Lonchura striata: one gene and its partners. The protein of the gene in region 3 purifies or fractionates together with the protein of the main gene of each other region. This does not show direct contact. Links are inferred from orthologs where the notes say so. Each region holds a gene or a part of one and is shown on either strand. Other genes may lie near its edges. The genes, in order: EXOSC3, EXOSC6, MPHOSPH6 and EXOSC8.

Region 1 (7,831 bases), on a different chromosome or scaffold from region 3:
TATGTATTAATGTAAAGAGAACACTTTAGATAAGTTCTATACAAATTTAGTAGTACAGGAACATGGTCTTGGTATGCTTAACCCTGTTTTTTGGTTTTTTTTAATTAAAAGCAATTTAAGATTTTCACATATTCATCTTTTCTGTCACTTTCATATACTCATCTTCCTACAGTTGTGTTTTGCCAGTATTTTAACAGCTTTCTAAAAACTTAGGTTCCTAAAATACTCTGTGCTCTGCAGAGTTTTTAAAGCTTTATGGAGATAAGCATGCCAATTATCCATGTATGTTTTTACTGAAGCAGCATTAAAAGACCATAAACACGGATAAGTGTATACACACTCTTCTGTTGGTACAAATTCCCATACACCACTAAGAAATCAGAATCCAGATGCATTGCAATTTCAAACCACAGCTCTTTTTCCAGGTATAGTAAATGGATTTTGTGCTAACCCCCTGTAAAATATTACTGTGTTGGTACTTAAATTAGACATTCTTATTTTAAAAAACTTTCAATACCATCAAGAAATGTGGAAGCATCAGGTAAGCTGACCTTATACTGGATTTTTGCAGTAAATTTATGTTCTGTTGTGACCAAAATTCAAGTATAAAACTCAGACTGCTGAAGCCACGTTAAGACATTTCCCCCATCTACCTACACTCCTGTTTCTTTATTTATGTGTTAGTTCAACACCCATGGGTTCTGCTTTGTGTTTTGTATTTGATGTCTGCTTCTGGAAAAATGACTGATAAATGGTATTTTCAAACCACCAAGTAAGCATTGGTCAAACCTCTTGATCTTCCTGCTGCAACTGCATTTCAGCTTCTTTTTTCTGTGCTTCCAACTCTGCAAGTTCTTTCTCCAATTGAGCCTGCAATCAGTTTAAGAAAGGACAAATTATAAAGGAAACAAGCCCCACATTTATCTTTTTCACCTCATTGTTTACAAAGTATTTAATATTGAAATAAAAAAGTAAACATAAAACATAACTGCTATGTTATGCAAATAATAAAGTCCTTTCAGTATCATCTGGTTTGACATTTTCAAAGGTTTGAGACTCTTATGGATAAAGAGGCTTTACTACCAAGAGGAAGATAAAGCAGTTAAGTGAAGTTAGTGTACACACTTCAGATCCTGTCTCATTACACAAGCTCTTTATCAATCTGTATTAGTTATCTCCTATCCTTTGGATTAAGCTCTTTGATACTTTGTGTAGCACCTAGCACAGATGGATGAATCAATATAGAATCAAATCTATAGAAAAATTTGGCAAGCAATGTCATTAGCATTAATCATGTCCATCAGCAACCTTTAGTACTTACAACTGGAAATATCTAACGGGAAGTGTTTATTAATTGTGAACATAAGTCCTATCACATCCAAACTTCAGAAACTGCATAATCTAAGTATTTACATTCAACAACCTTAGCAAATACTATTTGCTCTTGCATTCTGTGAGTAGTTACAATTATGGTCATAATTTTCTATTCCTTTATGGTACATAAAAGCAAAATTTACCTCAATATTTGACTACAGCCAAAACTGAGTTAGGTTAAAAAAAAAATGTATCTAATGTGAGTATAATTCTCAGTGAATTATCTCTGGACACAATCTCTTTATTTTCATTTACTATTTTATATCACTCATGAAACCCTTAAGCACATTACTCTTAGTTTGTAAATTACTAAAGGCCAAATTTTAAAACTGCAAACGAAATAAAATGAATGCATCTTACACTAGAGCTGGGCATAATGTGATCAGCATAAATTTAAAATTAAGCTTTTGATTTTAACTTTATGAAAGTCATCCATACAAGAAAACCAGTCAGGTCACACCAACATCACTATGTCAACACTGAGTTCATATGATTCCTTTACAAAGAATGGCTAAAAACACAGATATTGTATTTACTTCTGATACTGTAAGCCCAAACAGTATTTTCAGTTACTTCTCACGTAACTCCTAAATTGGCTGCCTTTTAACTTAACAGCCATCATTTTTTAATAACATTTTACTCCATAGTATGTAACTTTTCCTACCCATGTGCTGACTAATAATTTTAGTTACTCAGAAAAGTGAGATTGAAATACTTGCTTTATGCCACCTTTATCAAAATCATTATATAGCTATTAGAAGTATACAAAGAGCTCCAAGATGCCACAGCACCATATGCTGCTTGGAGTTATCTATTATTAATAACCTGACGTTGTTCTTCAAGTTTCCGCTGCTCTTCTTCCTGGATTTTTAACCTTTCAAGTTCTGCTAGGGCTGCCTCCCGTTCTTGCTCTATCTCAGCTCTCTCCAGCATTCTCTATTTCAGATGTAACACAGAATCAATTAAACATAAAAATGAAAGATATATTAAATAGCATCAACTATATTGTAGCAATCTTTTTTTTTTTCTTTTTTTTTTTTTTTTTTTTTTTGCCTAAGTTAGATCTACCTTTTTTTCTTCATCTAAGTTTCTTCTGTAATTGTAAATCCAGTGTGCAAGATACTCTATTGGATCTGCTGGCCGATGCTCTACAACCTCTGCCAGTCCCTTCTTCAAACAATTTCCCAGGCATTGCTTCAGATACTGAGACTCCATCCAAATCTACTGACAATAAACAGACAGACATTAGACATCAATGTTAGAATTAAGTTAGGGGCTCTAAGAACTCTTGCTTCAGGTGCCAAACACTGATTATGACAATACTTTTTACTAAGCCTTCAATTTATACAAGAAAGTTATTTAGCAGTAATTTAGCTCTTAAAGGCGCCAGTGACAGCTCAGTTATAACAATCACTGCAGAAAAAAAAAATGCTTAAACCCCACCTTATTGTTTGGACATGTATAATTCATAAAGTACTTGGAAACACACTGCTAATTCTAGGGCTGCATGATAACAAAAAACAAAAAAAAACAAAACAAAACAAAAAAACCAAACCAAACCAAAACAAAACAAAAAAAACAACATTGAAAAGCACAACAGGACATTAAAAACTTCTATGCAGAGAACAGGCAACTAACTCTGAGGACAATTAAGGGTAATTTTAGTTTGAACTGTCAAAGCTATCTTTAAGAGATGTGTGCAAGGCGAGGGTCTGAACGCTCTACAGTTACGAAAGGCACAGATCTCTGCACACACTCCACCAGCCCAGTCTAAGTACACAGGAGCCGTCCTTTGCTGCCAAGGGGGCTGAAAACGTGCCAGGGCAGAGAGCCCAGGCAATGAATTGACACAGTGACTACAGCCCATCCTCCGCGTTCACGGGGGCTCCAGGTGGCCTTAGTGTGCCCACCCTCGTAACCCGGAGCCGCCGCCCACGCCCCCCTGCCCGGGCTCCTCAGCCCTGCCCCGGGGCGCGGAGCCCGTTACCCGCCTCCCTCACACTCCGCCAGTCCCCGGCAGCCGGTGCTGCCTGCTCCGCTCTGCTGTAGCCGCCCGCCTTCCCTCGGACAGCAGCTCCCGGAGCGCCGGGGCTGCAGCCCCCGGCCCGGCCCGGCCCCGCTCCGCTCCTACCAGCGCGCGGGGTTGCTCCGCAACAGCGGCGGCAGCGCAGCGGCCCCAGCGCCGCCCGCAGGAGCGGACGGAGGGGTGAAGGGCCTGGCCGGAAAGGTCCCCGAGGGCACAAAACCGGGAGGAGAGGCCGAGACCTCAGAGGGTTTTGTGGCCCTTGAGAGAGACTTGAAAAAAATGGAGTTGAATGAGCAGAGAAGAAACTGAAATTCAGCTATGGCAAATGCAGGGTATTGCACGTGGGGAGGAATAATCCCAAGTGCTGGGGGTAATCTGCTGGGGAGCAGCTCTGTGGAGGAGGATCTGATGGACAACAAGGTCTTGCAGCAGTGCCCTTGTTGCCAAGAAGGCCAATGGTACCCCCGGGTGCATTAGGAAAAGCACTGCTAGCATGTCAAGGGAAGTGAATCTGCCCGTCTGCTGAGGTTCTGCCTGGAGTGCTGTGTCCAGTTCTGGGCTCCGCAGGGACAGAGAGACATGAAGATCTGGAGTGGGTCCAGCAGAGAGCTATGAAGATCATTAAGAGACTTGGGCATCTCTTATAAGGAAAGAGAGAGCTGAGCCTGCTCAGCCTTGAGAAGAGATGCTTGATAGAGGACCTTATTAATATGTATAAATATCTAAAGGGGAGGTGCCAAGCTCTGCTTCGTGGTGCCAACCACTAGGACACCAAGGAATGGGCAGAAACTGATGCATAGGAAGCTCCATTTAAACAGGAGGCAGAACTTTACTTTGTGCAGGTGACCACACACTGGAACGGATTGCCCAGAGAGGTTGTGGACTCTATCTAGAGATACTGAAAACTGTCTAGATGCAGTTCTGTGCAACGTGCTCTAGGATGACCCTGCTTAAAGCAGGGAGGATGGGCCAGATGACCCATTGTGATCCTTTCCAACTGTTTTAATACCATCTGTCTGTGAGCAGTTTCCCTTCACAACTGATGTGATCTTTTTTGCTCCCTGCCAAACTCATCGGCTGACGGTCACCTCATATTTACCAGCTGTTTGTTTTGCTGTCAACTTCTAATCGGGTATTCAAAACCCTTGTAACTGCAGCTGGAAGAATTAGCTCCGTGTGTTTATTAATTCCGACGCGTAAGTGCGAAATGAACATCACCTTGGCCGCCCCCCGGCAGAACTGGAAGGCGGGCTGCTTCCCGCAGGAAAGGCAGGCGGCTGGCGGAGGCGCCGTGAGCGGCGCGGGGCCGGCTGCAGCTCGGGGACCGGCCGGGCGGTGTCGCTGGCGCGCCGCGGCCGCTCCGCGCAGGGCGCGGGGCGCAGGGCGCAGCCGCCGCCCCGGCCCGAGGCGCGGCCATGGCGGCGGAGCGCGGCGCGCCGGCCGAGGCGCTGGTGGGGCAGGTGGTGCTGCCCGGGGACCTGCTGCTGCTGCCCGCGCACTACGACGAGGACGCGGAGGGCGAGCGGCTGCGGCTGAGCGCGGGCACGGCGCCGCAGGGGCGGCTGCTGTGCGGGCCGGGGCTGCGGCGCAGCGGGGCCGGGCTGCTGGTGACCAAGTGCGGGCTGCTGCGGCACCGGCCCGCGGGCGGCGGCGCCTTCTGGGTGGACTCGCAGCAGAAGCGGGTAGGGTCCGTGTGTCTGTGTGTGTGTCTGTGTGTCTGTGTGTTAGCCCGCGCTCCCCTGACCCTCTGTCCCCCTCGCCCGCTGCAGTACGTGCCGGTGAAGGGCGACCACGTCATCGGGATCGTGACGGCCAAAGCGGGGGACGTGTTCCGGCTGGACGTGGGCGGCAGCGAGCCCGCGTCCCTGTCCTACCTGGCCTTCGAAGGTGCCACGAAGAGGAACAGGCCGAACGTGCAGGTGGGTGCCCTGCTTCGCTGCCGGTGACGCTTCAGCTGCGTCCTTTGGTGGCGCCCGTGTCGCGTTCCAGTGGCTTTTCTTAGGGGAAGTTAGGGGAGGTCTGGTTCTAATGGTTTCGCCTTGGTCCTCCTCAGAGCGTTTTGCACCACTGGCCGCGGCCTCTCTGGGGTTTTTTAGGACCGTAACTAGCGTGGTTTGTTCTCTCTCAGCTGGCTGGGTGCTTCACTCTCATGTGTTGGTTTGCCAGGAGCAGATGCAGTTCATAAGGTGCCTCCGAAAGGGCGCTCCGATGTTAGGGTTTTAAAACGTGATGCTGGTAGAAAATATTAGTTGTGTGGGTTCTTTTAACAGCGCTGTTATGAATGGTTGTGTTGCACATGCATGCCATAGTTTCTGCACTCCCATGAAATGCCATTACCAGAATGTAAAAGGTAAAACTGTAAAGAAAAACAAAATCGGTGTGATATTTTTTATTGTTGTCCTGCTAAATGATTATAAGAGATAAAATCCTGTACTTTTGTTCTTTGACACTGTTTTGTTTAGGTGGGAGATCTTATTTATGGTCAGTTTGTTGTAGCAAATAAAGACATGGAACCAGAGATGGTGTGTATAGACAGCAGTGGAAAATCAAGTGGCATGGGAATAATTGGACAAGACGGCTTCCTCTTTAAAGTTTCCTTAGGTCTAATAAGAAAGTAAGTACTAAAAATGTAATTAGTCACTCTCACGTATAAATTACCACAGCTGTTTCTTCTGAGTAGTGTGGGCAGTTTGGTAAATCAGACTGTGTGATTCTTGTAGTGCGTTGAAACCAGATTTACTGAATAGAGTATGGATTGATCTAGAAGAAAAGTTTATTTTTTCTTTTAAGAGACTTAGAAGCTCTTTTGTATGGTGTTACATCACCTGTTTAAAAATAGTGATGTGGATGCCAAGGCAGTATGGAAAATAAAAGTAGTGTCTTGGGGTAGTCAAACATTCAGGATAGTGTTTCAGCTATGTACATATTACCTTGGAGTTTAAAACTTGGCAATGCTTATTGTCCTTGTTCTGTTTCGTGGGGGTAATAGAGGGTGTATGTTTGGCTGACAGCTGATTAAAGGGATCTTTGCACATCAGTACACATTATTTTCTGACTTCCAAATAAAAATAAATAACATTGAAATACAGATTTTAAAAATGTTGGATTTTAGTTTAAGGCTGACACATAAATCCAGGAACTGTTTCATAAGCTTTTAAATGTATTGTGAACTTTGGAGTTGCTTATGCTGATGTAAATACATGACTTTTTTTTTTGTGACTGTTAAAGTATACCAGATTACATGGATAAACAATAGTCAAAATTTGTTTTTGCTTTTTGGGTGGAGTTTTTTGTTTGTTTTGTCATTCTTTGGATAAGCAATCTGGCACTGCAGAGCAGCTTTTTCATACCTGGCATTGTCTGATTTATATGTCCTATTAGAAGTCAGCATGAACTGATACAAAAGCTTCTTGCAGCCATTCTGTTTTCCAAGTTTTGTCTGTATACAAGTAAAAAAAATAACAGCATATTACAAGTAAACTGCTAAATACTGGTATGCTTTTATTTTTTGTGAATACTTGTCTAATCTTGATTTAATTCTAGACGCATTACAGGATTTAGTATGTTGTCATCTAATAAAAATGAAGTAGGCTATTTATTGCTGTTAATACTGTTTCCTGAAATAGAAGGGAAGTCCTGTTTTGAAAGACACCTCTGGGGTGTCAAATAAATAGCACATCAAAAATGTCATTTGGTCAAATTGTGTACTTTTAGATTTATTTGCTCATAGAATTGTGTGTAAAAGTATCAATTAACTTTAAACTTATCAGGGATTGCTTCTGAATCTAATGACAAAAGTAAATTTATAATGGCTTTATTTTTTTAGGTGCATGCATTTTATATGCCAGGAGCCTTGAAAATCTGATACTGTATTGCTATGTTGGATGTATATAGAACTTTATAATCTTTCAGTGTTTCTTAAATGGCTCCCATAATAGCAGTACTGCTGGAGCTACTGGTCAATAATAATGTGGTCTCTGTAAGCATGATCACTCCTTCCTCTGACTTTTTTTTTGTCTTGTTCACAGGCTCTTGGCTCCCAAATGTGAAATAATTCAAGAGTTGTCACAATTGTACCCATTTGAGCTGGTGCTGGGAATGAATGGAAGAATATGGGTAAAAGCTAAAACAGTGCAACAGACTTTAATTATAGTAAATATTTTGGAAGCCTGTGAGTATATGACTGCACAACAGAGAAAACAAGCGCTTGCCAAACTGTCAGGGAACTGATAAGAGAAAACCTTGAGGATTGTTTGTGATGACTGTAGGGTGTTTTGGTTATTTTTGTATTCAGATTTATATATTAAAAGCCTTTTTTTAAATGAAGTACTCGATTTTGGTTGGTCTTCATTTCCCTTCTTTATCCACTCAGCTTGATTCTGTGTTGTTTAAGGAGTTTGTTTTGACTCGCTTTTGTGGTTATCAAGCCCT
Region 2 (6,682 bases), about 2.8 Mb from region 3:
ACAGAACTGGCTCTTACCTGCATCCCTTTGCTGTGCTCTGCAGACTGTGTATGCCAAGGACTGCCCTCTTGCAGAAGCCAAAGCTATCCAAGGACTTCGGGCAGTTTTTGACGAGACTTACCCCGATCCTGTCCGTGTGGTGTCCATTGGCATCCCTGTGGAGGAGCTGCTGGCTGACCCCTCTGGCCCTGGGGGCTCCATCACCTCTATTGAGTTCTGCGGAGGGACGTGAGTGCCTAGAAAGGCTGGGGAAGGTGGCAGGGTGGCTGAAAGGAGTTCCTGTGGAGCTTGAGCTCCTGGGAGTGTCATGAGCATTCACTGGGCAGAGCCAGGGCAGAGATGGAGGTGGTAGTGATGATGTCTTTGCATTCCCAGTCCTGAGTCAATCAGTCTTTAAAATTACCTTTTGCAGGCAGGAAACTGCCTGTATTGCCCATGACCTCACACAGGGTCTCTGGCAGTGCTGGGAACACAGGTCTTACCACCCTTTCCTCACTCATTTGCTTTCAGCACTGGTTGTTTTTTCTGTATGTCCCCACACTGCTGCATTTCCTTGGCATGATGGTTGTATTTTTTCTTTGCTGATTCTTGCTGAGATGAGAAGTGGACTTCTAACTCTTTCTTGTGGGTCTGTCTGGGTTCTTTCCAAAGGCACTTGCAGAACTCCAGCCATGCTGGCTCCTTTGTGATTGTTTCAGAAGAAGCAATTGCTAAAGGCATTCGGAGGATAGTTGCAGTCACCGGGGCTGAAGCTCGGAAGGTAAGGGTAGGCAGGAGAGATCCTCTGTGAAATTCCACCTATTAACCCTGTGCCAAAGTTCATTTTGTTCAAATTTGCACAATATCCTCTGAGGGACTCATGGAAAAGGGTGCTGCTGTTGCCAAAGACTGTTCTGGAGACACTGGCTGTACTACAGTCGGAGCAGGGAAGAGAGAAGGAAGTCTCAGCTGTAGGTGTTGTGGCAGAGAAACCTGGGTGGGTGTGTGGGATGGCTCCAGGGTTAGCTCAGGTTGCTTTCCAGAGTGGCTGCTGGTGTAGAGCTCTCAGCAGCTGGCAGGGCCAGCAGGAGAGTGGTGAAGTCTGAGAATCCAGTTCTGTGCTGCAGGAGGCAATGACTTTGGATGTGGCCTGGTGCTCCCTAAAGTGGGAGAAAGGGGTTTCATGGGGAAGACTATTTCTCTTTGGGGGGGGATCTTGGCAATCCTGGCAAAGGAAAGAGACCTGGGGCCCATGTGCCACCATCACACCCTGGTTCTGGTCAGATGCTGCCTGCTTTGGCCCAGTGGCTTTCCGAGAGTTACTAAGCTCCATCCTGGGGCATTCCAGCATTCTTCACCTCTTCACACTGGAGTGACCAAAACCCCAGCCTGATCAATCTTCCAGCTTGATTTAACTCAGATTGTATCCTCCTAGGCCCTCAGGAAAGTCGACAGCCTCAGGAAGTTGCTGTCAGCCCTGGAGGCCAAGGTGAAGGTCCAGACTGCTCCCAACAAAGACGTGCAGAAGGAGATCACAGATCTTGGTGAGGTGAGGATGGTAGCAGTACTCTGCCTCCCCAAAGTGAAAGGGACCTTGATTGCCAGAACTGGGTATTAATGAGGCCTGAGTTCACCTTCTGCTCCTGTCCAACAGCCCTGCATCCCATGGGTGCTGCAGCCAGCACCTCTTTCCTCGGGTCACTGGCACTGGGAGAGGAGTGGAGCTTACTGGGCTCTGCCAGCTGAGGCAGAGTTTATGAGGTGCTTCATCTCCTGCCATGATTGCTGGCACCTTTAACCTTCTCTACCTGCTCCTGTTTTGCAGGCTCTGGCCACTGCTATTATCCCACAGTGGCAGAAAGATGAACTGAGGGAGGCTGTTAAAGCACTGAAGAAGGTCATGGATGACCTGGACCGAGCAAGCAAAGCCGACATCCAGAAAAGAGTGAGCTGTGGGCTGGAATAAAGGACAGGGTGGGAGGCCTGTGGGGGGCTCCTTTGGGAGCTCTGATAGTGTTCAGGATGGAAGAGAATTGATGTATGGGCATGCCCCTCAAACTGTTCAGCCTTTCAGCTTCTCCTGCTGCCTCCTGAAGCAGAATTACCTCTGTGCCCATCCCCTGGGTTGAAGCATAGCAGCCTGTTCCTGCTCTAACAGTGGCCCTGGGTGCAGGTTTCCTCCTGGATCCCATTGGAGTTTTCTGGAGGAGGAATCATGCTCGACATGCTGTCTTGCAGGCCACATACCTGCCTGTCAGAGTACATTCCTCCTGGCTTTATAGTGTGAGGCTGCTCCAGGCTGGGCTTTTGGGTGTGTTTGGGCAGCCTGGGGACTTCTGTCCCTGCTCCACCCAGGTGGTTCTATACACAGTGTGGATGATTTAGTGGCTGACCACTGTTGTCCTCAGGTACTGGAGAAGACCAAGCAAGTCATTGAGAGTCACCCTAACCAGCCATGGGTCATCATGGAAATGGAAAATGGAGCCTCAGCAAAGGTATGGGAAAGTCTGATCTGTCCTCAGCAACTTTCCTTCAGCCTGAGGAGCAGCTAAGTGGTCTGTCATCACTTGAGGATGTGGTTCAGTTCTACAGAGCTGTCCCTCTTGCCACCTGCCATCCCTGAGACCTGGGATTTTCTCTTGTGTCCCACCTCCTGGACTGGCACATGGACTTGCTGGGGTGGTGAGGTTTTAACCACTTGCTGAGTTTCCAGACCTGGTGGTAGATAGGGAGCCCAGCAGAAATCCTATTATGTCCCAGCTAAGACTCATCCTGCAGCAGTCATGACACTGAAATGCACTTAAGGGACTGAGAGCAGCAGCTCTGCTAAGCCATGGAAGTTGTGATGCTTGTGGCCCCCGCAGATCAGCTCCAGGCGTGGTGTCCTGGGCTGAGTGTGGACAGGGCCAAGCAGAGAGCTGCCCCAGCACTGTCTGCTCAGCTGAGTTAAAGTTCTCCCCTGGCCAGGGCTGAATCTGCTCCTTCCCTCCTCCACACACAAGTATTTTCCCAAGTGATTTCTGTTGGAATGAATGCTCTGCTGTGTGTGTTGTGCCACAGTGCTGAGCCCAGTAGGTGCTAGGCAGTGGGAGCTGGTTGTGCCTGGGCTTAGACCACTCTGGGCTTAATGCTCTTTTAAAATTTCCTTTCTGAGAGTCTTGGAGCTGATCCTGCTCGCTCTCTGTGGCCACCAGCATCACCATGATACCCATGCTTCTGCTCCCAGTGGGTGCTGTTGCAGCATTTTCCCTGGCAGAAGGGTGCATCCCATGGGATGGCAGTGCTGCAGCCCAGGGAGCTGCATGTTCCCAATCCACACAGAGCAGCACTGCTTTGCTCACCATAGGACCCATTCCTGGGGCTCTGTGCTGCATCGTGCTGTCTGTGTGAGTGAGGGATGATGGTCTCCTTGAGAATAATAGAATGTGTGGCAGTCTCCCTGATTCTTCCCTGCCTGCTGTGTCTGATAACCCTTGCAGGCTCTTCACACTGCGTTTGAGTACTCTTGACTCCCTTTGGAACAGCTGTTCCCTTCTGCTGGGAAGAGCTTTTTTCCCTCCAGCCAGTACACTCAGGCAAAGATTTATTCTGGAGCTCATTTTGCTAATTGCTGTATGTCTCAAGATGGGGAAATAAAAGCATTTTCTCCTTCCTGCCTTGGGGTACACAGGCAGGGTTTATGTCCCCTGCCAAGGCTTTGACGTTGCCAGGAATATGAAAATGGCTGATGTTTGGGAGGACGAGCATTGCAGAGTGCTGCTAGCTGGTTTAATGCAATTCCTAATCCCTGAAGTCTCTGTGGGTGCTGTTGGGGCTGGAGCTGGGCTGGGTGCAAGCACAGAGAGGCAGTCATATAATGATTTTGTTCTCCTCCAGGCCCTGAATGAATCTCTGAAACTCTTCAAGACTAATTCCCCCCAGACTGCTGCTATGCTCTTTGCTGTGGATAATGAAGCTGGCAGGATCACCTGCCTGTGTCAAGTACCCCAGGTAATGCCAAGACTGTGTGCCTGCCTCTCTCTGAGCCTCTGTGGAGGAGCTGCAGCCTCCAGGCAGGAACGTTACGCTGCCCAATTTGATTGGGGTTTGGCAAGACCCAGAGCCTTTTCAGGCTGCTGAAGTGAGGGAAGAGAGGTTATGCTCTGCAAACAGGGAAGGGGAAGAGTCAGGACTTAATGGGGTGGTAGGCATGGGGCAGGGTGATCGCTGTTCAGTGCTGACTGCTGGGTTTCTTTTCCTGCTCAGGAGACTGCAAATAAGGGCCTGAAGGCCAGCCAGTGGGTGCAGGAAGTGTCTGGCTTGATGGACGGAAAAGGCGGTGGAAAGGACATCTCTGCACAGGCAACAGGCAAGAATGTGGGCTGCCTGCAGGAAGCCCTGAAACTGGCCACGGACTTTGCCAGGCTCCGCCTGGGGGAGCTGAAGAACTGACTGAGGGGAGAACCCCGGTCCCTTTGTCTCCCTCCCTCCCTGTCCCCTGCGCGGCTTTGCTGTAATAAAGGCTCCCTGCCCCGCGCTCTGCTCCCCGGCTCTGCAGGCGGGGCGGGCTGGGCTGGGGTGGGATCCCGCTGCCAGTCACGGCTTGTGCCCGCCTCCCGCCCGGGCCCGCCCCGCCGCCGTCTCCCGGCGTGCCGCCGAACATGCCGCTGGATCACCGCCGCCTGCGCGGCCCCGAGGAGTCGCAGCCGCCGGCGCTGTGGGCAGCGGCCGCGGCCGAGGATGAGGAGGACGGGGAGGGCGCGGCGCCGCGGGACCCCTGTGCGCTCCGGCCGCTGTTCGCGCGGGCCGGGCTGCTGAGCCAGGCGCAGGGCTCGGCCTACGTGGAGCTGGGCAGCGGCACCAAGGTGCTCTGCGCCGCCTGGGGCCCGCGGGAGGCGGCCGAGCCCGGCCCGGGCCGGCTGCTCTGCGAGTTCCGCCGGGCGCCGTTCGCGGGGCGCGGGGCGCGGAGCCGGCCGGGCGCGGCGGCGGAGCGGGAGGCGGAGCGGGAGGCGGCGGCGGCGCTGCGGGAGGCGCTGGAGCCGGCGGTGCGGCTGGGCCGCTACCCGCGGGCCCGCCTGGCCGTCAGCGCGCTGCTGCTGCAGGACGGCGGCTCGGCGCTGGCCGCCGCCGTCAGCGCCGCCGCGCTGGCGCTGGCGGACGCGGGCGTGGAGATGTACGACCTGGCCGTGGGCTGCGCGCTGTGCCTGCCGGCCGCGCCCGCCGCCGCCTGGATGCTGCAGCCCGCCGAGCCCGAGGAGCGCCGCGCCGCCGCCCGCCTCACGCTGGCCCTGCTGCCCGCGCTCAACCAGGTGTCGGCCGTGCTGGGCGGCGGCCGGGGCGGCCCGCCCGAGGACTGGGCGCAGGCCCTGCGGCTCGGGCTCGATGGCTGCCACCGGCAGTACCCGGTGCTGCGGCAGAGCCTGCTGCGGGCCGCCCAGCGCCGCGACGCCGCCGCCGCCGCTGCCGCCACCAGTGCCTGAGTGCCCGTGAGACCTGCGTGCCCCGGTCTGCGGGTGGGCATCTCCCAGAGCCCGCCCAAGCTGCTTTCAGTGCTGCCGGGACGCCTGGTGCCTGCTTGATCCACACACCGCTGTTCGGGACTAAAATAAGTTACTTCTAGAATCTTAAAAGTTTGTTAAGTTTAGCTGTAACTGCTGGTGAAGCCCCATACCGAGCCTGATCCATGCCTCATGCTGCTGGAGACTGGACGAACCAACCTTTGCACTGCTGGAGACCCCTCGTGTTGCCCACACAGCTGGAGGCCCAAGGACATGAGACTCTGCTTCCCCCACACACTGCCCGAGCACCCCAGAGTGCAACTCGTGTTGCAGGAGACCATTCTCAACTGGCACCACAGGACCCAAACAGCCTTGCATGCTGCTGAAGCTCCCCAAGAACAACCTCCATACTGCCTCAGCATCCAGAGCCTGTCCAAGGCCTCCCTCCAAGCAATTGCTGGCACTCGGGACCCCACATCTCCACCTGTGCTGGTCACAGCACCAGGCTGAAAGCCTCACTCCAGGCTCCCCACCATATCCATCTGTGCAGGCAGCACCAGACAGGAACCATATAATGGCATGGACTGCACAACCTTTGGACTTCTTGCCCAGGCACTGCTTCAGGTGGCAGAGTTGTGTTTTGTTCATTTTTTCGTAATAATAAATTGTATTTTTTCTGATGAGTCTTCTGCCCGCATGGCCTTCCTGAGGCCTCTGCTAGCCATGAGCAGAGATGGAAAGATGCACTTCTACAGTCGGGGTCAACCCCTCTGCTCCCACTGTCCTTGAGGAGTTCAGGGAGAGCTGGGTGCTTCCTTGGAATCTGATTATTCCTGGGGATGGAGTGGAGCAGGTGGTCTTGTCTGCCAAGCTGCGCCATGGTGTGCTGGTAGGGAATATTCTGGGTATTTTCCATTGGGATACAGGGCAGAGCTGCACTCGTACCTCTGGCTTGAGCTGTAGGAAAGGCAGCATCCGAGAAAGCCCTCAGAGCTGGGGGTTGTGTCTGGCAGCACATAAAATGGGGTACAAAACTGTGCACTTCAGATGCTTAAAAACTGCATTGGAGTCAAATAATCAGAGAAAAGAAATACAATTTTTTTTTTTTCCAATACAATACACTCTTTTACCAGAGCAAATTAGAAATACAGAACACAATTCTGCCAGTGAGAGAAGGGCAACTGAGAAATGAGGGACATGGAACTGAAACAGGACACTGGGGAGCA
Region 3 (7,322 bases):
TTTACGGCAAGTCTGCTGTTTTTTTCTAATACAAGGACACTCCTGTCACTTGCTTCCTTGGTGATAACCTCTGTCAAAGGATGGGAACAGACAGGTAAAACAGTAACCTCTCAACAGCTGGGAGTAGAAGAAGACATCTGTCACAGCCTATAAAAAACTGCTGAGAGCACAGAACTACAGACCTGAGACCTGTGAAACAGCATTTTAATTTCCATTTGTCTCAAGTCAGGTGCCTGAACTGAGTGACAATTAAGTCTAAACAATGTCAATGAAATATGCTGGGAAAAAACATGACTCTTCAAAATTTTATGGTGATAATCCATATAATCCCACCCTCCTGGAAGTTGAGACCTCCCTGAGGATCTACAGAAAGTGGTTGTATAACTGTACCTGTCAGAGGTCTACATTTATACCAACCTAACTCCCAGACAGTGGCAAGTCTAACAATACAGTTCACACACAGTCCTTTAAGAATACATAGGTGGTACAGGTGTGCAATGTATTATGAACAACCCACATGTATTTTCAGTCTTTACAAAATGCCCAACCAAAACAAACTCAGAAGTACGAGCCAACAGAGCTAGTGATTTATTTTCCATTTCTATTTCTATTTGCATCCACTGTACAAGATCTTTAATGAAAGAAAAATTGACTTCTGTTTTCTGAGTCGATTCAGAATATGTCAAAGCTTTCCAATTAAAATTACAGTATCTTCTTGAGGAAAATAAGTGAATCTATCATGTGGAAAAACATACTGCTCGAGGAAATTGGTTAGCCAGTCAGAAACCTCAACACAAGAAATTCTGCTACAAGAACCCAATTAAATAATCATTTCACACTCCATTTTAAAGATTATGTTGCCAAAGATTACTACAGGAAAAACCTAGATAAAAATTATGTGATCAGGTTTCTCTCTAATGTAAACACACACTGATGAATTAAAAATATACCCGCTGTGGTAGGCACGGAATATATAAGTCAGTATCTGAGGAGCTGTTTGGGTGTATTTCCCCAAGCTATGAGACCTGGACCAAATGGTACAAGATCTAAAGTCTGTGTCCATTTGTCTCCAGTATTTATTGCAAATGGTCCTTCCAACACCACCAACCACATGTCACCTCTGGGTGCCACATGGTAATACATTGGATCACTACCTGCAGAGGCAGCTGCTAAAGGCTTAATTAAAACATTTGTAAACAGGAAGATCTGCAGAAACAAAGTGCTAAATGCAAGATCTGTGTATGACCTTTTCAAAACCTACTGATCTCTTCAAAGCTGGTTATCACTGCCTTGACTGTGAACCTGCAAATGTCATGGCAGCATATGCACATGGCTGGTTCTCCATGGCCTTCCAGAGAAAAACAATAAAAAAACCCTGCTTTTGAAATCTCCAGGGGGTTAGTATAGTGGCAAAAAACAAAGAAAAATTTCATTTTAAAGGAGTATTATATAAAAACAAGAAAAAAATAATGATGTTGCCATCCAGGTTATGGGAGTCTGACTGACCGTGTCACATATTGCTGGCTGACTCAAGTTCAACATCTACTCCCTTTTGAAAGCGAGGCAAGATGTATTTTATTCCTTCTGTGTACAAGTTTTAGATTTAGAAGTATCTATTAATTAGGGTAAATATTCCATCATCCAACTGTAGCAGCGTGCACTTTATGTGAAAAATTGAACTGAAGCCAGCTAACTCTTTTTTCAGCCAGAATGTGAAATATAGGCCCATATAAATACGTAGGGAAAAAATGGCTAAATAAAACACCACAAGCAAGAAGCCACGAAGGCCCCATCATGTTCAGTTAAAAAATTGAATATTAACATTAAAAAAAAAGTACTCAACTTTTTCTGGTTGTTTTCCAGCAATAAAGGACCATCAATCAGAGAATGTACTCTACTGAATTAGGAGTTGTAGTACATGGTGTGAAGCACAATGCATTAGCCAGTGAGCAGAGACTAATTTCACACTGGTGACATGAAATTCACAATACCAAGGGCAATAAGCACATCGGGATGTTACTAAGATCCCTGGCATTTATGAGTTGGGAAAGCTGGTAAATACTGGATATTAATCCCCATTCAGGCTGGGATTTCCTTAGCCAGCAAGGTAAAAATGCTCACACCAAAACCTAAACTTCTTTTCCCTCAATACTAAAAGCCCCACGCAAAGCAAGCAGCATTGATACCTTTATTTCAAAGTGCTGTTGAAATATTTTTATCTAAACCCACAACAACCAACCCAGAGGCAGAAGAGCAAGGTGGAACGAAGAACTCCCAGAAGATGCGCTGGAGCTGGCCCTGGAGCCCAGACTTTTTCTGGCACCAGCGATGTCTTTGCCGGGGCAGCAGCCCGAGATAACACATGGATGACCACATCTGTATTCAGCGCCTGGCTGAGGAGAGCCAGGGCTCCAAGTGTGGCCGGGATGGGCACGGGAATGCCCCACACCAGGGCTCCAAGTGTGGCTGGGATGGGCACGGAAATGCCCCACACCAGGGCTCCAAGTGTGGCCGGGATGGGCACAGGAATGCCCCACACCAGGGCTCCGTGTGTGGCCGGGGATGGGCACGGAAATGCCCCACACCAGGGCTCCGTGTGTGGCCGGGGATGGGCACGGGAATGCCCCACACCAGAGCTCCAAGTGTGGCCGGGATGGGCACGGGAATGCCCCACATCAGGGCTCCGTGTGGGGCCGGGATGGGCACGGGAATGCCCCACACCAGGGCTCCAAGTGTGGCCGGGGTTGGGCACGGGAATGCCCCACACCGGGGCTCCGCACCCCGGCCGCGCCTCACGGCGCCGGGCCCCGCTCGCCACGGGTGCCGGCACGGCTCGGCCTGCCCCTGCTGCCCTCCGGGCCGCCGCTTCCAGCCCTCCCCTCCTTCCCCCGTCACCTTCATGCGCAGCAGGTTCTTGGACAGCTTGGTTTTCACCTCCCCGGCCATGGCGGCCCGCAGGCCGCGGCGGATCCCCGCGCTCGCGTAGCGCCGAGGCCGCGCACGCCGCGGGAGGAGCGGGGCGCGGCGGCGGCGGGCTCCGCCCTCCGGCCGCGGGCACGGGCCGCCTCCCTGCCCACGGCCCGGGAGCCGCCGGGGCCGGGGGGTGCGCTGCTGGTGCGAAACCAGCGGTAGAAATAAACTTTACGGCTGTGCGGGCTGGGGGATGTGAAAAATGCATATTTTATGATTGGCTTTTCGCAAATATTACTATATGTGTAATGTTAGAAAGTTATGCTGTATTAATTCTCTTAAGTAGCGTGTTAAATATAGTTTTAGGTTCCAACATAATGTTAAAATAGAGACTGTATGTGGGGGGAATTTTTTCTTTTAGCAATGAGATACTTCATTTAACACCTAAATCTTCCAGAGAAAAGGAATTTATGGTTTTCTTATCAGAAGAAGCTAATTTCTTCAGGCCTTGCTCAGACTCGAAGACGCCTTGGGGATTATAGGAAACAGTTGACATACAACAGACAGAGTTCTTGTTTTAAATAGAATGTATGCATAACCAGGAAGGTTATATGAATATGCAACAGGCTATTGATTTTAAGGTTATTCCTTTGCTCACAAAGGATGCTTTTCCTGACTTAGTGTCCGAGAGCATCTGGACGTCCATAATTCTTTGTTTTTTATTGTCTTGTAATTGTCCTAACTCTAAACTTTATTACTCTAATTGTATTACTATTTTTATAACCATTTTATTATTATTAAACTTTTAAAATTTTAACAACGAAATGATTGGTGTTTTTCACAGGGAGATCGGGGGTGTGAGCAGGACATAATTCCGCTCTGGTATGACATGGTAAATCAGTATGTGAACATGCCTTATCCATGCTTGTGTGTTGTGTAGTACTGCTGATGCTTCATCCATAATTTTCTGATATTTCAAAAAGAGTATAAAATTCTTCCCACACTGGTATTTGGAGACTGCTTGACTTTATAGGCGTTTATTTTTTTACAATCAGCACTGACTTTTATTAAAAAGAAAATCACAAAACAGTCAGATGTGATTAAAACTGGAAAACACACAAATTGAAAGATATTACAAAAAGTCTCAAAGCTTTGTTAGTCCTGAATCATGATTTGTGAATTCAGTGTAGGCAGCGCTGGTGTTGGACTGCCCTGCTGGGCATGGGGAGCTGAGGAGGAAATTCTGATAGGGAATTGCCAGCTGACTCCCAGTCAGAAGCATGTACCACAATTTTTCTATATATCCTCATAAATCAGATTTCTGATGCCTGTTTTGACATTTGGCACATAAACTGGGTGATAAAGCAATAAGAGTGAGGGTTCAGCATTCAAAACTTTAATGAACTGGTGTGCTCCCAAAGACAATTTAGGGAGAAAAGTTCCCGTATATGCAAGATGTAGGTCAAAGCTTGAAGAACTCTGTAAAGATTTATGCTCTAATAGACTCTACAGAAAGGTATAATGAAGGACAAAACCTGATTGCAGTGGGAAAGGAGGGAGAATTATCCACATCCAGGCATCCTTATTACACATTTAAGCTCAGTGGACTAAAATGACACAAATGCCAATGAAACATGGAGCCACAAATGCTTCAAGGCAAAGTCATAACACTGCGTGAAAATATTTAATTTTCATGTAGGGAAGGCACCTTCACTCCCAGGCTCTGTAAATGAGTTGAAGCTGCTCTGAAGTTCAAGGCCCCAGTGAGAAAGTCACATTGTGAGTGTGGCAGCTGTGCTGTTTGGCTCCTTCTCTGTTCCCTTTCCCATTAACAGCTATCGTCCCTTCCCAACAAAAGAAAGCTGGGAAGAAATTTGCCATTTTCTGAATACAAATGTTCATCAAAGAATGAATATGTTTGAATCTTAGTGAGCAAACCAATAGGGGAAAGCTGTTAATTAATGTAGTGGCACAGTACAGCCAGAATCTGTCATTTTTGGTTGTATGTTCTATTTGCCATGCATTTTAATAATGCATTTACTTTTTGTTGTTCATTGCAAATCAGAGCCCTGTGTTAAATTGCATGACCTTCAACGTCAGGGCTTTTCTGAGCAGTTGCAGTCCATTTACAGTCCGGGAATGTACTTTGAATGATTTCTTCTAAATACTGTGCTCTCCTCAGCACTTCTGCAGCCATTGCGCTGTGGTAGAGCCTGGCTTTGCTTGGTGGCCTTTTCAAGAGCTGTTTCTGTCCCTCCATCCTGCAGAACATCCCAGCTCAACAATTCCTCAGCAGACTCTGCTCACAGCCTGTTTGGGATTTGGGCATTGCACACCACAGTTCCTCTCTACCTTTCTTGAGAAGGAGCATCCTGCCCCCAAATTCTCTGGGAGCTGCATTCTGATAATTTACATCACCATGCAATGTCTAACTGGGATGGGGGGAGTGCAAGGGGTTTTCACCTTATCTAACCATGAAGATTATTCCTGGTGCTCCCTGGTCCCCACTGCACCCCGTGTCTTGGTGCTGCACCCCAGGCTTGCACAGAGTTTCTGTCACTGTCTGTTGGCACATCAGCTAAAAACCTGCCTCGATACAGGCAGGGAGAAGCATTTTGCAGTAAAAGCAGTATAGGTTCTGTGATGTTTATTTAGAAAAGTGGAGACTGTAAAAAGGCTGCCAAAGAATGTGATCTATTTTGGCAGTAAAAAAGCCCAAAGGAAATTTTTGGGTTGCATCTCCCATCACTTGAATTGGATGGGGAGGTTATAGATAACAATCAGCTGCCTTTTGGACCAGATTATGCTGTCTGGTAAATGTGAAGACAGTCCATTGATTGCAGGAGAAATTTTTATGATTTACTGGTAGTTATGGAGGTAACTCAGAGAAGAATCCAGCCCTGTAAACACACCTGCTTGTGGAGTGAGGGTGAGAAGAGTTGGGAGAGAAAAATAATCTCTCTATGTTTAGAGAAGAGACAAGGGTCATTGTAAATGACAATTAGATGCTCTCCCACAGCTGAGTGCTGCACAGCAGCTCCATTTTCAACCTGGAAACCAATTTCTTTTTCAAAACAAAAATACTCGGGAAATAACTTGGGGGAAAGGAGTTCCATCTCATCAAAGATTGTACATTAAACAAGCAGATAAAAGATTTTTCTTCCTAGGAAATGTGGTCTCTTCTCCCTCTAGTAATTACAAAAGTCAAATCAAAGTTGTCATTAACATTATTTAAGGAGTAATCTCTCTTGGAGCAACACATGTGGCAGCTGTGAAGTAATTTCATGCCAATGGGATCTAATTTGAGGGAACTCATGGCTTACTTTTTCCATAACTTTTTATTTATTATTATTTTATTACTGTAGTAGTGTGTCACTATAGGACACGTGAAAGTATGAATAGCAGCAAGCTGCTGCTATTGTAAAGGTAACAAAGAGGAGGTTTTATTTCTGACTTTAACATTTATGTTTTTCTAAAGGTGACACTGGATTGGAGGGTGAACATACTACCTCACCAATGACACTGGATAAACTACTAGTACATCAAATATCTCTGCCTCTATGAAGGAATGTAAAACAATAGGTTATTTACAGAAAATTGGTGAGAAAGTTTTTTACAAGAATGTAAACTCAGAAGGCTTATAAAATCTTAAAAATCAGGGATACAGTAGTGTGATTTTAGCGTTAAATGGGTATCTCAAACCTTACAGCAATCCATCAGTTGATTTGATTTGATTTCTTATGAGCTGTCTTTGAATTCCGAGGCAGCTTTTTACAGCTCTCAGAATACCTGAAGCCTTCTTCCCCTCCTTGCAAATATCAAAATTCTTGAAGTATGACAGGGGAATCATTAATTTGTGTCAAACTCCTCCACTGTGTTTTAAGTAAGGACATTATGTGTTTTTCTCTATGAATGAGGAGAAGAAATTGAGAAGTGGAGCTGCTGGAGATCTGTTTGCAAACCTGAAAGGAAGGCGTGAAGCGCTGCGTGTGGCTGGGTGTGACTGGGAAAGCAGTTTTGTCCCCTGTGCTGCACGGAGAGAGTGGCAGTGGTGCCATTTTCATGTGGAGGACTCGTTTTTTATCTCTCCTACTCCCACCCTGCTCTGAGCCGCTAATGCATCTGGTGCATGGATGTCGGAATCTGAGGTATTGATGATTCCGAGATTGTAAAAAGTCTCTCTCTTTCATTGCCAAAGAAGTCATAATTCATCTGTGCTGGTTTAAAGGTTGTTTATTCTGTTTATCTCTAACATATCTGCTGCCCTGCCCAGCTCTGTCCTGCAGGGCAGCGTGTGGGGCTCTGCCCTCAGTGGGATGTGACAAACATTAAATACCAGAAACTCCCTGGGCTGGATTTACAAGAACGTGCCAATATCTGTCACCTACGTTGGACAGTGTGTCCCCAGCCTG
Region 4 (7,702 bases), on a different chromosome or scaffold from region 3:
TTGTGAGGGCACCTAAACTGTGCTGCACATACAGGTGCAGAATTGACTAATTACACTGTGCACGTTAGCCCAGGAACAGGACTGGAAACAATGCTCAAGGATATTATTGTACCACATACTCTTTTTCATCCTTATTGAAACTGTAAAGAAAAATCCTTCCTCTTCCTGGTTTACAAATGCAAGAACGAAGAAAACCAATTAGTAAGTCATTAAGATCACCACTATAACCTGATATTAATAATACCTCCCCCATTATGATTATTCCACATAAGCACTTGCCTATGTTGACAGTGGTTGTCCGAAATTCACCTAACTCTCTTCCATCAGGCCGACAGTTCTCCTTCTAAAGAAAAATTACAGATTTCAAATTAGAAAGCATATTTTATCAAATAACACAATAATATTTTTGCTACAGAACTTCATAAAAAATGAAGTTGTCTTCTCAAAAATGCTAGGGAAAACTCAGTCATACTTTAGTTGGCTTTTCATCAACTGATACATAGTTTGTGGTTGTACACGTGCAAAAAAAAAACCCTGATTTTTAAAATTAATTTAAATTTATTTAGACAATACAACAACAGACTGATTGTCTAAAGGGTAGGTACTACAGGAGGCTAGATTAAGAACATTATCCAAGAATGAACACACACTGGTAAACTTAAAATGAAAGTTTCTACCTGCCTGCATTGTTTAGTGGAGCTCTTAAAATTAGAGTGAACTAAAGAAAACTAGAAAATCCAGCATTCAAACACCATCAGTCAGAAGCTGTACAGCACATAACCCTTATGTTAGAAACTGAAACAATATTCCGTCATTTTAGATCTGACTTGTCACTCACAACAGTTTCAAGCTTTTCAAAAGCAAACACTTTTGGCTCAATTATGAGAACCAAAATTTGCAATAACACTGGATCCATTTCTAAGTCAATACAACTTCAGTAATAGCTGAACTAATTTAAGGTAACAAAACTAAGTGGTTTTCCTCTGCAGTTACATTTACTGCTGTATGGTTAGCAGTAATAGTATCTGTTACTAATTTTTGTAGCATCTAAAAACCTGGTTTGATATAATTTTGTACTAGGCAAAAACCTGCATTACCATCTTGGTCAAATTAAACTGAACTCCTTTCAAGACCAAAAGAAGCAAGGATGAAAAAGCATCAACACCATAGATGGAAAGAAAAACACATTCTGAAGAGCACAGATGTTTTTTGCCTGCTCAGACAGTTTTTTTTGGGTTTAGTTTTTTCAGTTTCCATTTCCATAGCTTTAGATTTCCATACAGACAAGTTAGAAGAGCAGAAACAAGCAAGAAAAAATTCACTACAAGGAATTTATACATGATTCACTCACCAAAAACCTCCTGTAATATTCCAATGGTTCCACAGTTCTAGAACAAATAGAAAGAGAACTTCAAATGTAAGCTCCTGAGTAAGCAAGATGCACAAAAAAAAAATCTGGAAATCAAGATGCTTGACAAAGCTGCTTACCAATACAGTTAAAGAACAATGAGGAAATTTTAAAATAATCTAAAAAAAAAATATGTTTTCCTAAGTTCAGTCCCAAATTGTTCATTCCATATAAGGAAACTGCCTGCACATACACTTAACAAAAATTGCTAGCTTTCACTTCAGTAATCCTATTAGCTCTAATCGAAAGAAGTGTTTAGTGACAAATGAGTCATTAAACACTTTGCCTTTCAAGGAATGCAAAAATGAAAATTTTACTACAATGTGTGAAATATCTGTAAGTCCAAGGACTGCATTCAGATGCAGAAAATTGTATAGATTTTTTTAATTATTCAGTTTTTCTTAGAATCTTTAACAAAATACAAAATATGCTTCATGCAGTGCTTCAGATGAGACATAACTGATGCTTATTACTAATCATACACTAGTAACAGTACTTGTGCATTAGTATTTTATGCGGGAATCATTAAGGAAAAAAAAAGCTTTTAAAAAAAATGTTGCCAATATTTAAACAAAGCATTCACAGTTTTGTTAAAACAGTGCTTCTGGGACAGGGGTGGAAAAAAAAGTGGAATAGGCAAGTTTTCCAAATGCAAACTAAGATACAGGCAACACGAACATAATGGCCAGCATGAATGGGCTCCTGCTGGCTCCACACGTGTTGGTCCTGTACCACTGGATTATAAACCCAACAGAAGGTCTGTTGTTTTACAGTTCAGGTAACAGCACTTGCTAAACCTGGCTTGATGCTTTTAAGCCATACAATAGAATCAAGGATGCTGGGACAGACTACCCAGAGAAGCTGTGGGTGCCCCGTGCCTGGAAGTGTTCAAGGCCAGGCTGGATGGGGCCCTAGCAAAAGGTGTCCCTGCCCACGGCAGAGGGATTCGAACTGGATGATCTGGGAAAATCCCCTCTGACCCAAACCACTTTACTATTCCAGAACGAATAGTTATAAATGGGAAGTCATTGAATTCCTTACCGTGTTAATTTCCTTATAATTCTATCAGCTGTGTAAGGGCAGGTTTAGGTCGGACAGTAGGAAAACATTTGTCGCCTAGAGGGTGTCTGGGCACTGGACCTGGAACTTCCCCAGGGCACAGCACCAAAACTGCCGGAGTCCGAGAAGCGCTTGGATAGCGCTTCAGGCACACGGTGACTCCTGGGGATCCTGCACCGGGCCAGGAGCTGGACCCGCTGATCTCTAAGGATCCACCTCGGCGCAGGCTGCAATTCTGCTACCAGGCAGCTCCGGGCCTCACCGAGCTCCGCTCGGGCTTTTTGCCGGGTCTTTTCCCGGCTGGCCAAACCCCGCTCGCTCAGTTTTTCCCGCAAGCGTCGGGGCTCCACAGCCCCCGCGGCACCGACCGCACGCGCCGGGCCCGAGACCGGATAAAGCCCACGGGGGTCCCAGCGCGGCCGGGGCGGAGACCGGATAAAGCCCACGGGGGTCCCCCCGCGGCCGGGGCGGAGGCCGGATAAAGCCCACGGGGGTCCCCGCGCGGCCGGGGCGGTGGGGACGCCGGGTGCGGCGGGACCCGCGGGGCGGGCCCGGCGGGACCGCGGCCGCCGGGCCCAGCACTTACTTGAACGCTGCCGCCATGGCGGTGCCGTCTCCGCCCCGGATGTGGCGCCCCCTGGCGGCCCGCTCTCCCGGCCGCCTCCGCGGGCGGACCGGCGGCGGCGGCGGCGATGGGGGCGGCGGCGCTGCCGGGCGCTGACCGCCGGGGGGCGCCGGCGGCTCCCAGCGGCACCCGGCGGGCGGCGCGGCCGCTTCCGCGTCGCTGTCGCGGCGCGCCGGGGCCCCGCGGCTGCCGCGGGCGATGGCGCTGCCGCCGCTCCCGTCCCTGCCCCTGCCCGCAGCCGCGCTGGCGCTGGCGGCCCTCGCCGCTTTCCTGCTCGTCCTGGTGAGAGCCGCGCACGGGGGGCCCGGGGGCTCCGTGGCGGGGGCGGCGCGCGAGGCCGCCCCGTGCCGCCCCCCGGCGCGGGGCAGCGCGGTCCGGCCCCGCCCGGGGTCCCGCGGTCCTGCCGCGCCCCGCAGGCCGTGGGGCCGGCCGGGCCGGGCGGCTGGAGCCGGCAGCGCTGCGCTTCTGCGGGGGGTTGTGCGGGGAATGTGCTTCGGCGGGGCGTGGGCTACCGTGCCTGGCAAAGGGGGCCAGGACGGAGCATTTCAGCCTTACCTTACGTGTTGGGAAATGTCCTGGTAACGCCTTCGCGTTAACCATTTGGGAAGTTGCTGTGTTTCTGCGTATCCGAAATGTCGTGCGAGATTAAGAAGGTCGAGCCCCTGGAAAGCGAAATTCTGTTGCCTGTCCACAGTGCCACGTATGCATCCTGCCCAGGGAGGTGGGGGAGGCACCGTCCCTGGAGGTGTTTAAGGAAAGACTAGACTTGGCACTGGTCTGATCGATACGGTGTTGTTGGGGCATCGGTGATATCAGAGGTCTTTTTCAACCTAAGTTATTCTGTGTGTGGTATCGCCAAGTAAAAGTGCTACAGAACCCAAGTTCTACCACTTTTTTTTATCCACGCATAAAGCAATCAGAGCCTTAGTGTTGCAAGCACACATGGCTGTCTGGTCGTTGATTTCAGCTTTGCCATTGATTTCAGTGGCGTGGTGGGGGATCAGAGGCGGCACCTGCTTATGTGCTCAAGGTTACTTGGGGAAGGAGCTCGGACCACAGCTTTGGAAGCATCTGCATGCTTTGCAGTTAAAAACAGCAGCAAGCCAATGATGCTGACAGTGGTCAGAGTGGGAGTAACCAAACGGCATGAGAGAGTTTTGGTCCTGTGTGAAATTCCACAACAGTGACCCACCTTATTACTGAAATATACTTAGTTGCCCCTGGTAGAACATTTAACAACTAAATAAACTTTTAACAATGCTTGACAACTTTTTTCATTTCTTCTTCATCACAGATTTGTGTAATCGCTCATGTAACTGCCAAAACAATGCCACACGAAGATGCTGAGTGCAGGAAAGGATCTGCACCAAATATTCATGATCCTGCTACAAGAGAACTCTCTGTCGTTGTGCCTTCATACAATGAGGAAAACCGGTGTAAGATTTTTCTAGTTTTGAGGAAAAGAAGAAAAGCTATCTGTTGTTACTGTAATAATGCAGAGGTCAGTTGCATTAGCAGTAGATTCTGGCAGACCAGATTATGTATCAGATTTTGGACACAGTTTCCAGAAAACAGTCCAAGTACATTGAATTTCAAAATTAAGGCATAGTGGAACTTGATTTCTACTGCTAAAAATAGCATGGAGCACTTGTAAGAATCCTCTTAATTTTAATGAACCCCAGAAGAATGGCTGTTCATTGCCTCTGCACATGCTGCAAGGCAAGAAGTAGTAAAATACTTTTAAATTGAGATTTTCCCACTCTTTAAACAACTACAGCAGCTTCAGACAAGCAGAAAAAGGGATGGTCTCAGGGGTTTGTGTTTGACTTGGCCATAGATAGGAGTACCTGATACTGAGTGAAGGCTTTTAGATGTGATAGAAATAATCAAGCTCTAAAGCTGATGTGGCAGTACACAAGCTGACAGCTTGTTTAAATAGATAGTCAGTGGTGCTTTGCAGTGTCAGTCATAAAGAATTATTTTTTTTTTCCTTTAATGTTGTGCAGAGAATTATATACTTTAAAATATAAAGTTGGTTCCTCAGAATAAAAGTTTTTATGCTTTCTTTTTATCACGTGTGTGATTTTCTTCAGTGTTCTTTCTGCATTCAGAAAGGACAGCACTTAGAGTTGCAGCTGCTAAGCTTGTTTACTGAAGGTAGTGTTGTATGAAAGAGTTGATTTGCTCAGTCTTGCTTTGTGGCTATTTTCAGCTTGCTTGTGCAGGTGCTTTTGGTGTTACAATCTACTAACCTGACTTCCTCCACCTTTTCTCTAGTACCACTTATGATGGATGAAGCTTTGGATTATCTAGAAAAAAGACAGGTATTTTCTTTTTGCATTCAAAATTCATTATTTTCCTGTGTATTATATATAACAAGTTGGTAATCTAGTCACTTTGTTATATTAGTGTACATTAAAACAGTAGTACTTGGCCACTTAGAAATAATGCTTCTGTCTCTTATCAGTAATTTTTAGATCAAGTGCCAGAAAGGATTTTTAAATTAAGTAAAAATTTAGTATGCTACTATAGGATGAAACAATCTTCATATACATGAAATCTGCCCAAGACAGAGCTAAGGATTAACCATGCATTTAACTTTCTAAACTACGTCCTGGTTTGTTCCAACAAGTTTCTTAAGCATCTGTTCTTCAATAGAATTTGTTCCCTGGGTAAGAAGCTCATTGTAAAAGTTTGTGGATTTTGTTTTGTTTAGGTTTTTTTAAAAGTTATGTTTTTCTGAGCTTCCATCTTCTACTGCTAAGTTGATTTTTCAGTTCTAGATGGTAGCATGACAAGCCAATGTTACAGTACCTGCATCAAATATGGCAAAATTCTGTAGCTATGCCATCTTACCAAATTTACTGCATCATATTAGTATCTGTTGGCAACTATGAATTTGTGGTAGGGAGAAAAGAATAATGATGTTTGAAAGACCTACTGCCTACTTAAGAAATTGGATGAAATGCATTATTTCTGCTTTTATTTTCAAGAAACAAGATCCTTCATTCACTTATGAAGTGATAGTGGTTAATGATGGTAGTAAAGATCAAACTGCAAAGGTAAGAAAAAGTAATGTCTTCCCAAGCAATCAGAGGCGTGGAATTTTGTTTGGATTTTTGTATCTTTGTGGAATATAACAGTGGTTTATATTTATATTTTGGTACTTGAAATAGTTGACAGTTGAAGTTCACATATCTGAATTATCTCTGTCATTGCATCATGGATGGCACATATGCACATGAATGCACATACAATTCTTCTGCAAATTCTAGTTTTCTTGATTGGCAGCTGTGACAGCCATTTTCCTGCAGCTGTGGTTCTAAGAATTCTAATCCTAACTTCAAGAAATTTCACTTGAAATACTCTACATGTGCATAGTGATGATGTGAATAGGAATTTGAGGAAGCTAAAAAGACTTTTAAAATGTCTCATTCATACTGTGACAGAACAAGTGACACAGTTCTTTCCCACACCCTTTTTGGGATTGTTAATTTAAAAAACCATGTGCTAGTATTAGTATTTTCTGTAAAAAAAAATAGTTCTGTATTCTTCTGCTTCAATTTTGATCTATGTTACTGGCAAGGAAGGCTAGCCAGCTTGTGGGTTTTCTTTCCTACTGCTTGGAAGATGTTTGAGGTAGAGACTAAAATGTATATTGCTTTAAGAATTGCTGGTATATAATTTTGACTGCTGTGCATTCTTTCTACTATCTCTTTCAATTGAGCATACAATGGCTGCAGCCCTCTGGACATAAAAGACCTCAAGACAACCTTTAGAAAAAATTAGGAGAAAACTCAAGCTTTCTCTTCCCCACAACATATACCAAAATGTTCAGATCCTTGCAGTGTGAATATGGCTTTAGATCAACATGAATTTTTCTTCAAAACCACAAATAGCAGCAAGACAAGTGAGAAATAGATGGCTGTCATAGAAAATTGTATTTCTTTTATGAACTATTGGTGTTAATAGAAAAGATCTGTAATAGTATGATATAAATTAAATTAGGATTGAGTTTCATAGAGGTGGGAGGATGGGGGTTGAATTGCTTCGGGAAATATCCTGTTCTTAATGAACATTACTTCATTTCTTCAGTCTTCTTGTTTTAACCGTGGACTGTTTTTTATTTTCCCAAACAGGCTCCAGCGAACACTGGCAATGTATTTGTGCCGACTGAAGTGGTTATAGCTCTGTGCTATTAATTTATTTTCTTTTGAAGGGTGAGCAAATGTACACTTGTCCCTTGGTTCCTAGTTTTGTTTTATGCTGGCTTTTTGTGTATCTGTCAGGTTGCAAAGGAGTACTGCAAGAAATATGGAAGTGACAAAGTGCGAGTGATATCTTTGGAAAAAAATCGAGGGAAAGGGGGAGCAGTCAGGACGGTAATTAATACTTTCATCTCCTTCTCTGTTTGAAGTACCTGTGCCCAAATATGCAGAAGATAGAGCTGTGCTGACTGACATTTTGAATTCAATGCATTAACAAATGGATCAGGCAAAAACTGAGTACAGATTCTATAAATTAAAGCAAAAATTTTTTTCAAAGTAAGTTTATTTTAGATCTTGGTAGCAGTGTTGTCTTTCCAGAAAGATCAACACCAAAGACTTTTT

The links.
Region 1: the proteins of MPHOSPH6 (region 3) and EXOSC3 purify together in Homo sapiens (affinity purification with mass spectrometry; 6 studies listed by BioGRID and IntAct, counting the BioPlex papers as one, with this or other methods). This does not show direct contact. The link is inferred for Lonchura striata from reciprocal best matches to the Homo sapiens genes MPHOSPH6 and EXOSC3.
Region 2: the proteins of MPHOSPH6 (region 3) and EXOSC6 purify together in Homo sapiens (affinity purification with mass spectrometry; 3 studies listed by BioGRID and IntAct, with this or other methods). This does not show direct contact. The link is inferred for Lonchura striata from reciprocal best matches to the Homo sapiens genes MPHOSPH6 and EXOSC6.
Region 4: the proteins of MPHOSPH6 (region 3) and EXOSC8 purify together in Homo sapiens (affinity purification with mass spectrometry; 4 studies listed by BioGRID and IntAct, counting the BioPlex papers as one, with this or other methods). This does not show direct contact. The link is inferred for Lonchura striata from reciprocal best matches to the Homo sapiens genes MPHOSPH6 and EXOSC8.

The regions. Positions count from the first base shown.
Region 1 is NC_134609.1:7,919,360-7,927,190, reverse strand, and holds EXOSC3 (exosome complex component RRP40), read left to right. Parts: upstream 1-4,801; 5' UTR 4,802-4,815; coding exon 4,816-5,082; intron 5,083-5,169; coding exon 5,170-5,319; exon of another isoform or gene 5,320-5,349; intron 5,350-5,862; coding exon 5,863-6,014; intron 6,015-7,428; coding exon 7,429-7,630; 3' UTR 7,631-7,726; downstream 7,727-7,831. Other genes in the region: DYDC1 (DPY30 domain-containing protein 1), read right to left, coding at 790-870, 2,200-2,310, 2,443-2,589. UniProt on the Homo sapiens protein: Non-catalytic component of the RNA exosome complex which has 3'->5' exoribonuclease activity and participates in a multitude of cellular RNA processing and degradation events.
Region 2 is NC_134615.1:16,645,929-16,652,610, reverse strand, and holds EXOSC6 (exosome complex component MTR3), read left to right. Parts: upstream 1-4,545; 5' UTR 4,546-4,619; coding exon 4,620-5,438; 3' UTR 5,439-6,136; downstream 6,137-6,682. Other genes in the region: AARS1 (alanine--tRNA ligase, cytoplasmic), read left to right, coding at 44-228, 652-760, 1,415-1,528, 1,805-1,924, 2,388-2,474, 3,856-3,969, 4,225-4,410. UniProt on the Homo sapiens protein: Non-catalytic component of the RNA exosome complex which has 3'->5' exoribonuclease activity and participates in a multitude of cellular RNA processing and degradation events.
Region 3 is NC_134615.1:19,495,112-19,502,433, forward strand, and holds the start of MPHOSPH6 (M-phase phosphoprotein 6), read right to left. Parts: upstream 3,022-7,322; 5' UTR 2,947-3,021; coding exon 2,896-2,946; intron 1-2,895. UniProt on the Homo sapiens protein: RNA-binding protein that associates with the RNA exosome complex. Involved in the 3'-processing of the 7S pre-RNA to the mature 5.8S rRNA and play a role in recruiting the RNA exosome complex to pre-rRNA; this function may include C1D.
Region 4 is NC_134604.1:65,417,936-65,425,637, forward strand, and holds the start of EXOSC8 (exosome complex component RRP43), read right to left. Parts: upstream 3,091-7,702; 5' UTR 3,071-3,090; coding exon 3,054-3,070; intron 1,389-3,053; coding exon 1,352-1,388; intron 344-1,351; coding exon 280-343; intron 1-279. Other genes in the region: ALG5 (dolichyl-phosphate beta-glucosyltransferase), read left to right, coding at 3,291-3,374, 4,387-4,528, 5,370-5,416, 6,086-6,154, 7,382-7,474. UniProt on the Homo sapiens protein: Non-catalytic component of the RNA exosome complex which has 3'->5' exoribonuclease activity and participates in a multitude of cellular RNA processing and degradation events.